Linked DNA regions of Saccharomyces cerevisiae S288C. The protein of the gene in region 1 binds, or shares a complex with, the protein of each later gene. Each region holds a gene or a part of one and is shown in the gene's direction. Other genes may lie near its edges. The genes, in order: MCM22 and CTF3.

Region 1 (3,346 bases):
CCAGTTACGAAAGAAGACAGATACTGGATGTGCAATTACGGTGTCCGATGAGGTCAACCTTATTGAATCTCTCTCATATCACTCCATATCTCCAGGAGTAGACATACAAATCAACACAGATGTTTTGCAGACTATAGATTACTACTTTCAGCGTAACAAAAGTGAACATGACGAAATTATGTGCGTCCTTATTTCTAAGTTACAGCCACTACTTTTAAAACGCAAAAGCAACTTCGAACTCAAAGAGCAACGTAATCTTGGTCTCAAACCCACGCTTGGAATGTCTTTGAAAGAAGATAACCTAATGCAGGCGTGGGTAAGTCAGGGTGGCTTGAAAGGCATTCCGTTATTCTACGTAATTCTGTTACATTTGAAAAGGAGAGACATATCTACGAATCTTTCTTGGATTATTCCAGGAATTCTAAACATACTAGATGATACCACTGATATAAGAAGAATTAAACTTCGTGGTGTTCTGCTCCTACAGACGCTATTAAATCATACCTTTATGAACGAAACCAATGACTCAAAATGGATACAGTTCTCTAGTACTGGTTTATTTCCACTGTTCGAAAAGACGCTAATCAATATGTGCTATTTTCTCCCTCCCTCATACAATGCTGATGAAACAATAGCCATATGGCGGGTCGTTTTCCCAACGATACAGTCGTTATATAAAGTAGAATTTTTGGACAATTACACAAAGTATCAATATCACCTGGAAAAGTTCATGTCAGAGATAATCTTGCAAAACATAATTCCTAGGGCTAGCCTTGCATACGAAAATTTGACGTTATACGCATTGGAATGCACAATGAACATACTGAGACTTCAAAGAGAAGGGTCTGTTGTACATCTCCAGAGGCTGATTTTTGTTTTAGGTGAATATATTGTACGAAATCCTTTTTACACAACTTTTCCAAAACTTATTTCAAAAACTCTTTCAGTGGTAAGTACTCTCATAAAGGTTTGCCCGAATGAAAGAATAGTGGCTCACAGATTCGACATTTTATCATTAATTCTAGTTACATACGATAAGTGTTCGCAAGAGGATGCGTTGAACGAATCAATACTACAACAATGTAAGGAAACGATAAGCTGGTTGCTGAATTGTGACTGCGCTATGGGTGAACAGTTATCGACTCTATCTAAGCAACCGCGGTTTCAGTTACTTTTTGAGTTCTCATAGGAAACAGACACAGACACAGACAAATGCATATACATATATATATATATATAACTAGACAGTATATAAACAAAAAGAGTTATTTGCCCTTTATGCTGAAGAATCCCTTTTAAAGAAACCTTGGACATATATTAAAATATTCATTTGCTTATTTACAGATATATTAAGGTAAAGAGAATAATGACTCGGAGAGATAAATCGGTTTCATATTAACGGGTGTTTTGCAACCCGTTCACAATCCTGATATTAGTATCCAAAAACCGATTCACACAGTTAGACAAACATTGCTCTTCTTGCGAACTTAAATTAGAATCATTGACAGACTCAACACATTTTTTGAAGCATATATTAGTGAATTGATGGATTGACATCTGGACTTTTTGTTTGGAGTTCTCTCCCTCCAAGAAAGTAGCAATTTCCTTTTTGGAAGTGTCATCAAGGGAGGCCAAATCAGACGTTGATAGAGAAGACATTCTTTGTTGTTTGTAAATTTGTTTTCCTTTTTACCTCTTCTTCAATACTTTCATATAAATGAATGTTTCCATCAATTTTTACGTTAGTTAATAACTAACCGTTCGCTTTGATATGCAGCGTAACAACAAACAAGACGCATATGACGACAAAGAGGGACAAGAGCAAACGGCAGAAAGTCTCACAAAGGAAACATGGATGTTGAAAAGGATGTCCTGGATGTCTACATAAAGAACCTGGAGAACCAGATCGGAAACAAACGATATTTCTTGAAGCAAGCTCAAGGTGCCATCGATGAGATCACGAAGAGATCTCTGGATACAGAGGGTAAACCGGTCAATTCTGAGGTCTTTACAGAGTTATTAAGAAAACCCATGTTCTTCTCAGAGAGAGCTGATCCTATTGGTTTCAGTTTGACATCGAATTTTTTGTCTTTGAGAGCCCAAAGTTCCAGTGAATGGCTCTCGCTTATGAATGATCAATCAGTTGATCAAAAGGCCATGTTATTGTTACAGAATAATATTAATAGTGACTTGAAAGAGCTGCTACGAAAACTGCAGCATCAAATGACCATTATGGACAGTAAGAAGCAAGATCACGCCCATATTAGAACACGAAAAGCCAGAAATAAAGAGCTTTGGGACTCACTGGCGGACTTTCTCAAGGGTTATCTAGTACCGAATTTGGATGATAATGATGAATCAATAGATAGCTTAACGAACGAAGTCATGCTGTTAATGAAAAGACTAATTGAGCATGATTTGAATCTGACATTAAACGATTTTTCATCTAAAACGATACCAATATACAGATTATTACTTAGGGCTAATATAATAACAGTAATTGAGGGCTCTACAAATCCAGGGACTAAATACATCAAACTAATAGATTTCAATGAGACCAGTCTAACTTAAGTAATACTTCGTAGTCAAAGTGTGCTTCGTAGTGGTGTGAGGATGTTATAAAGCGCCAAAATTTAGAAGATCATAATTTGGCAGTAACCGTAGATTATTCACCAAAAAGCTCTTGACTTCCTCTTTTAATAGACTGTCGTTAAAAGGTCCTTAGTCCAGAATAGTATATAAAAAGTGTTGTATGGTAGTGGTATACCAATTTTGCTATGAGTAAAAAATTATCGTTGGAAGAGAGACTCTCCTTGGCAACTAAGAAAGGAAGAAAGAAAAATAAAAGGTCAACGTCAAATTTGTCGTCTCCATCGCCTGTGGTGCTGTCAAACAATGAACAAGAAAGTGCTCGTACATCCATTGATGATGCGGCTGCCGGTGTGGTGTCAATTGACAATGCTGAAAACATAGATGATCCTGCGGTACGATCAGAAAGCACTGTGGAAGGCGATACAGGTAAGGCAGATTCAATCGCTGTCGATGACGTGGTGCATCCCGATCACAATAGGACTGATTGCTTCGACGACACTATGGTATCACTGCCTACATGGCTACCTAAAAATTACACTGAATTTACTGTTGAAGAATTAGTCAAAGAAATTAGTCCTGAATATTTAAGATTAAACAAACAGATTGATGACCTAACTAACGAACTAAACAGAAAATCACAAATCGAAACCACGGATTCTAGTTTTTTCAAATTGATTAAAGAGAAGGACGACTTGATAGATCAGTTGAGAAAAGAAGGAGCTAAATTAGCGGAAACTGAGCTGAGGCAATCAAA
Region 2 (4,823 bases), on another chromosome or scaffold:
ACTGTAAGAAGAACAAGAGATGATGCAAGCTAAAGCAAGCAGGTCTCAAATAAACGCTACTTGTGCCGTTGACAGCTTGTTTATCTTGCACATGGCAAGGCCATCGCGTCCCTGCGTCCCAAGAGTGCGCGGTATACGTGCGGCCCTAAACGAGGCGGTCTCTGTTCTCTGATATATTTCTTTTCTTTCTTCGTTGTTTTGTTTCGTGTTTGTTGAGCTCCTGCCTTCAATCGGCATCGTCCTCTTGCGTACGTACATAAAATCGTTACAGCTTTGTTCACATGGTGAAAACAATAGCGTTTGGTACGCTCTTTAAATCTTGGCACTTGTCACTTACGCTCCTTTAAACAAAATCAAACATACAAATATACGGATACGTACGCACACAGAAGCATAAAAGCACAAAAGCACATAAGAAGACCACATATAAACTAGATTATGTCCTTTGATAGACAGTTGACCGAAGACCAGGAGGTCGTCCTTAAGCAAATTTGGACACACCTTTTCCATCTGTGGCAAGTTCCCGTGGATGGAACTCATATTTTCCCTAATAACTCCCTCCACTCCTCGTCCACCCCTGCTAAGAAGAAGAAATCATCCTGGTTTAGCAAGCTTCAGTCCTCAGACCATACACAGGACTCCAGCGAAGCCGCTGAAGCGGCACACCTCTATGAAAAGGGCAAGATACACAAGGCACTAGCCAATCTAGACCCGCAAACGACCAAGAAGCAGTTCTGGCACGATATCAAGAATGAAACTCCAGACGCCACCATTTTGAAGTTTATCAGAGCCAGAAAGTGGAACGCAGACAAGACCATCGCCATGTTGGGTCACGATTTGTACTGGCGCAAGGACACTATTAACAAGATCATAAACGGTGGCGAAAGAGCTGTGTATGAGAATAACGAGACCGGTGTCATTAAGAACCTGGAATTGCAAAAGGCCACCATCCAGGGTTACGACAATGACATGAGGCCAGTCATCCTTGTGAGACCTAGATTACATCATTCTTCCGACCAAACTGAACAGGAGCTGGAAAAATTCTCCCTGTTGGTCATCGAGCAATCAAAGCTTTTCTTCAAAGAAAACTACCCCGCATCCACCACCATCTTGTTCGATCTGAACGGGTTCTCCATGTCCAATATGGACTATGCCCCCGTCAAGTTTCTAATCACTTGTTTTGAGGCTCACTACCCGGAATCTTTGGGCCATCTACTTATCCATAAGGCCCCTTGGATCTTTAACCCGATTTGGAACATCATCAAGAATTGGCTGGATCCGGTCGTCGCGTCCAAGATTGTTTTCACTAAGAATATCGACGAATTGCACAAGTTTATCCAACCCCAATACATCCCTAGGTATCTGGGCGGAGAAAATGACAATGATTTGGATCATTACACTCCACCAGATGGCTCTTTGGACGTCCATCTGAAAGACACCGAGACTCGCGCTATGATCGAAAAGGAGAGAGAAGAATTGGTCGAACAATTCTTGACTGTCACTGCCCAATGGATTGAACACCAGCCATTGAACGATCCAGCATACATTCAACTGCAGGAGAAAAGAGTACAACTTTCCACCGCTCTTTGTGAAAACTACTCCAAGTTAGATCCGTACATCAGATCAAGATCCGTTTATGACTACAATGGTTCTCTAAAAGTTTGAGCCAAGCCACGCGACGCTCCATACTGTATAGACCTTTATTATAAAAACATCTATTTCTTTATATGTCCCTCTATCTTATTTTTCTTTTACTTTTATTTGTATAATACGCGAAAAATTATAGAATCATTTATTATCAAAAACAATCAACTATGAAATGAAAAACAATACGCCTGCTAATACGGTTCGCCCTTCAATTTTTGTTTTTTTTACATGAATGAGTCTTATACTAGATGATATCATCCTCTCACTAACGAATGCTAACGAACGAACGCCACCACAGGCCCTTAAAACCACTTTAAGCCTGCTATACGAAAAATCAAAACAATATGGTCTTTCTTCGCCGCAACTACAAGCACTTGTAAGGTTACTCTGTGAAACTTCCATAATAGACACAGTTACAAAAGTGTACATCGTCGAAAATTGCTTTTTACCTGATGGCTACTTGACGAAGGAACTTCTTTTGGAGATTATTAACCATCTCGGTACGCCAACGGTATTCTCTAGATATCGCATACAAACGCCTCCGGTCCTACAATCTGCGTTGTGCAAATGGTTAGTGCATGTTTATTTCCTATTTCCTGTACATTCAGAACGAGAACACAATATATCCAGTTCTATCTGGTTACATTTATGGCAATTCTCGTTCTTACAGAAGTGGATAACTCCCCTGGTTATTTGGCAAGCCACGACGCCCGTTGATGTCAAACCTTGGAAGTTGTCTATTATCAAGAGATGCGCTATGCATCCAGGTTACCGGGACGCTCCCGGTAGTGCGACGCTTATTTTGCAACGATTTCAATGTCTCGTGGGCGCATCCAGTCAGATTACTGAATCAATAATTACCATCAATTGCAATAGAAAGACTTTGAAAAGTCATCGAAACTTAAAATTGGATGCGCATTTCCTATCCATTTTGAAAAGAATATTATCCAGAGCACATCCCGCTAATTTTCCCGCTGACACTGTCCAAAACACAATTGACATGTACTTGAGTGAAATTCATCAATTAGGTGCTGATTCTATATACCCACTTCGACTTCAATCACTTCCAGAATATGTTCCCTCTGACAGTACGGTCTCTCTTTGGGATGTCACTTCATTGGAACAATTAGCTCAAAACTGGCCACAATTGCATATTCCCAATGATGTAGATTACATGATGAAGCCATCTTTAAACAGCAATGTTTTACTGCCGCGAAAAGTCATGTCTAGGGATTCTCTCAAACACTTGTACTCTAGTATCATTCTCATTAAAAATAGCCGCGATGAGTCGTCATCACCATACGAATGGTGCATTTGGCAATTGAAGCGATGCTTTGCACATCAGATAGAGACTCCGCAAGAAGTTATTCCCATTATTATTTCGGTGTCCTCAATGGATAATAAACTGTCTTCTCGCATTATTCAAACGTTTTGTAATTTGAAATACTTAAAACTCGATGAGCTTACGTTGAAAAAGGTTTGTGGCGGAATCTTGCCATTATGGAAGCCTGAACTAATCAGTGGTACAAGGGAATTTTTCGTTAAGTTTATGGCCAGTATTTTTATGTGGAGTACACGAGATGGTCACGACAATAATTGCACATTTTCTGAAACTTGTTTTTACGTTTTACAAATGATTACAAACTGGGTTTTAGATGATAAATTGATAGCACTCGGGTTGACACTACTGCATGACATGCAAAGCCTGCTAACTTTGGACAAAATCTTTAACAATGCTACTTCAAACAGATTTTCTACGATGGCTTTCATCAGCTCGTTAGATATTTTAACTCAACTGTCGAAACAAACGAAGTCGGATTATGCGATCCAATATTTGATTGTGGGCCCTGACATCATGAATAAAGTGTTCAGTTCGGACGATCCTTTGCTATTATCAGCTGCGTGCAGGTACTTGGTTGCTACGAAAAATAAATTGATGCAATACCCGTCAACAAACAAATTCGTTCGGATGCAGAACCAATATATCATGGATTTGACAAATTATCTTTACAGGAATAAAGTTCTGTCATCCAAAAGTTTGTTTGGAGTCTCACCAGATTTCTTTAAGCAGATTTTGGAGAATCTTTATATCCCAACTGCAGACTTCAAGAACGCTAAATTTTTCACGATAACTGGTATACCAGCGCTATCCTACATATGTATTATTATTCTAAGACGACTGGAAACGGCCGAAAATACCAAAATAAAATTCACCAGTGGGATCATAAATGAAGAGACGTTTAACAATTTCTTTCGAGTTCATCATGATGAGATTGGCCAGCATGGTTGGATAAAGGGCGTTAATAACATTCACGACTTGAGAGTAAAGATTTTAATGCATTTGAGTAACACTGCTAATCCATATAGAGACATTGCAGCATTCTTGTTTACATATTTGAAGAGTCTCTCAAAGTATAGCGTTCAAAATTCTTAGAATATGCATCCACATTTATATACATATATATATATATATATATATTATAACTTCCAAAAAGGAGATTGGACAATTTATATCTATAAGGCATTAATATTTAACTATTTACAAGCACTAGTGGTAAATTCATGGCGTCATATGATTACTTGTGGAATAAGAAACTAATCACATTGAATTTCATGACAAATTTTTTGATTTTTTTATTCATCAAATACATTCTCCCTTCCGGTAAGTTCATCAAAGTTTCAATAACAGCATCCCTACCTAATTTCAAAAAGTTTTTGTCAGCCGTGTACATGAATTTGACTCTGCCATTTACCACAATTTGAAACTTTTTGAATTTGGACTCAGTAGTGCGCTCAACTTCTGGCCAGCGGTATTGGTTCCATTCCATTTGGGAGTTGATCATCTCTGCAGCTTCTTCTGAAATTGACGGGACAGCAGGATATATAACGGTTACCAACTTTTGTAAATTCTGTACTATCATTTCATTCCTTACTTCACCTTTTTTCAATGCACTTTCTAAAATATTGGTTAGCTTCATATAATCAGATATTACAGTGTTTAACGATAGATTAACTTCAAATGATTCCGTAATTGATTTCAAGAAGCGTTGGAAATCGTTGTGAAATTTCACTTCTGCATCATTTAAGTCGGTCGGGGTCTTGTAGTCTTTACTTATTGCCAAATCCTTCTCGAGACTGAGAATATTTTTGGTCAAATGAAGAACCTTCTGCAACCA

The links.
Region 2: the proteins of MCM22 (region 1) and CTF3 are in contact, whole or in part, in a cryo-EM structure (PDB 7L7Q), measured with the Saccharomyces cerevisiae proteins. Residues at the interface, in NP_012669.1 of Saccharomyces cerevisiae: Leu57 (codon at 2,020), Arg58 (codon at 2,023), Lys59 (codon at 2,026), Pro60 (codon at 2,029), Phe63 (codon at 2,038), Ser64 (codon at 2,041), Arg66 (codon at 2,047), Leu74 (codon at 2,071), Asn77 (codon at 2,080), Phe78 (codon at 2,083), Leu79 (codon at 2,086), Leu81 (codon at 2,092), Arg82 (codon at 2,095), Ser85 (codon at 2,104), Ser86 (codon at 2,107), Glu88 (codon at 2,113), Trp89 (codon at 2,116), Leu92 (codon at 2,125), Met93 (codon at 2,128), Gln96 (codon at 2,137), Met103 (codon at 2,158), Gln107 (codon at 2,170), Ile110 (codon at 2,179), Asp113 (codon at 2,188), Leu114 (codon at 2,191), Glu116 (codon at 2,197), Leu117 (codon at 2,200), Lys120 (codon at 2,209), Leu121 (codon at 2,212), Gln124 (codon at 2,221); in NP_013485.1 of Saccharomyces cerevisiae: Leu296 (codon at 2,765), Glu297 (codon at 2,768), Leu299 (codon at 2,774), Ala300 (codon at 2,777), Gln301 (codon at 2,780), Trp303 (codon at 2,786), His338 (codon at 2,891), Leu339 (codon at 2,894), Ser342 (codon at 2,903), Ile346 (codon at 2,915), Ser384 (codon at 3,029), Ser387 (codon at 3,038), Met388 (codon at 3,041), Gly418 (codon at 3,131), Cys456 (codon at 3,245), Glu460 (codon at 3,257), Phe463 (codon at 3,266), Tyr464 (codon at 3,269), Asn500 (codon at 3,377), Asn501 (codon at 3,380), Ala502 (codon at 3,383), Thr503 (codon at 3,386), Ser504 (codon at 3,389), Asn505 (codon at 3,392), Arg506 (codon at 3,395), Phe507 (codon at 3,398), Met510 (codon at 3,407), Ala511 (codon at 3,410), Asp549 (codon at 3,524), Asp550 (codon at 3,527).

Annotation. Positions count from the first base shown.
Region 1 is NC_001142.9:675,284-678,629, reverse strand, and holds MCM22 (Mcm22p), read left to right. Parts: upstream 1-1,851; coding exon 1,852-2,571; downstream 2,572-3,346. Other genes in the region: TTI2 (Tti2p), read left to right, coding at 1-1,189; protein transporter TIM8, read right to left, coding at 1,396-1,659; SGM1 (Sgm1p), read left to right, coding at 2,778-3,346. UniProt on the Saccharomyces cerevisiae protein: Component of the kinetochore, a multiprotein complex that assembles on centromeric DNA and attaches chromosomes to spindle microtubules, mediating chromosome segregation and sister chromatid segregation during meiosis and mitosis.
Region 2 is NC_001144.5:877,844-882,666, forward strand, and holds CTF3 (Ctf3p), read left to right. Parts: upstream 1-1,879; coding exon 1,880-4,081; downstream 4,082-4,823. Other genes in the region: CSR1 (Csr1p), read left to right, coding at 439-1,665; leucine--tRNA ligase NAM2, read right to left, coding at 4,224-4,823. UniProt on the Saccharomyces cerevisiae protein: Component of the central kinetochore, which mediates the attachment of the centromere to the mitotic spindle by forming essential interactions between the microtubule-associated outer kinetochore proteins and the centromere-associated inner kinetochore proteins.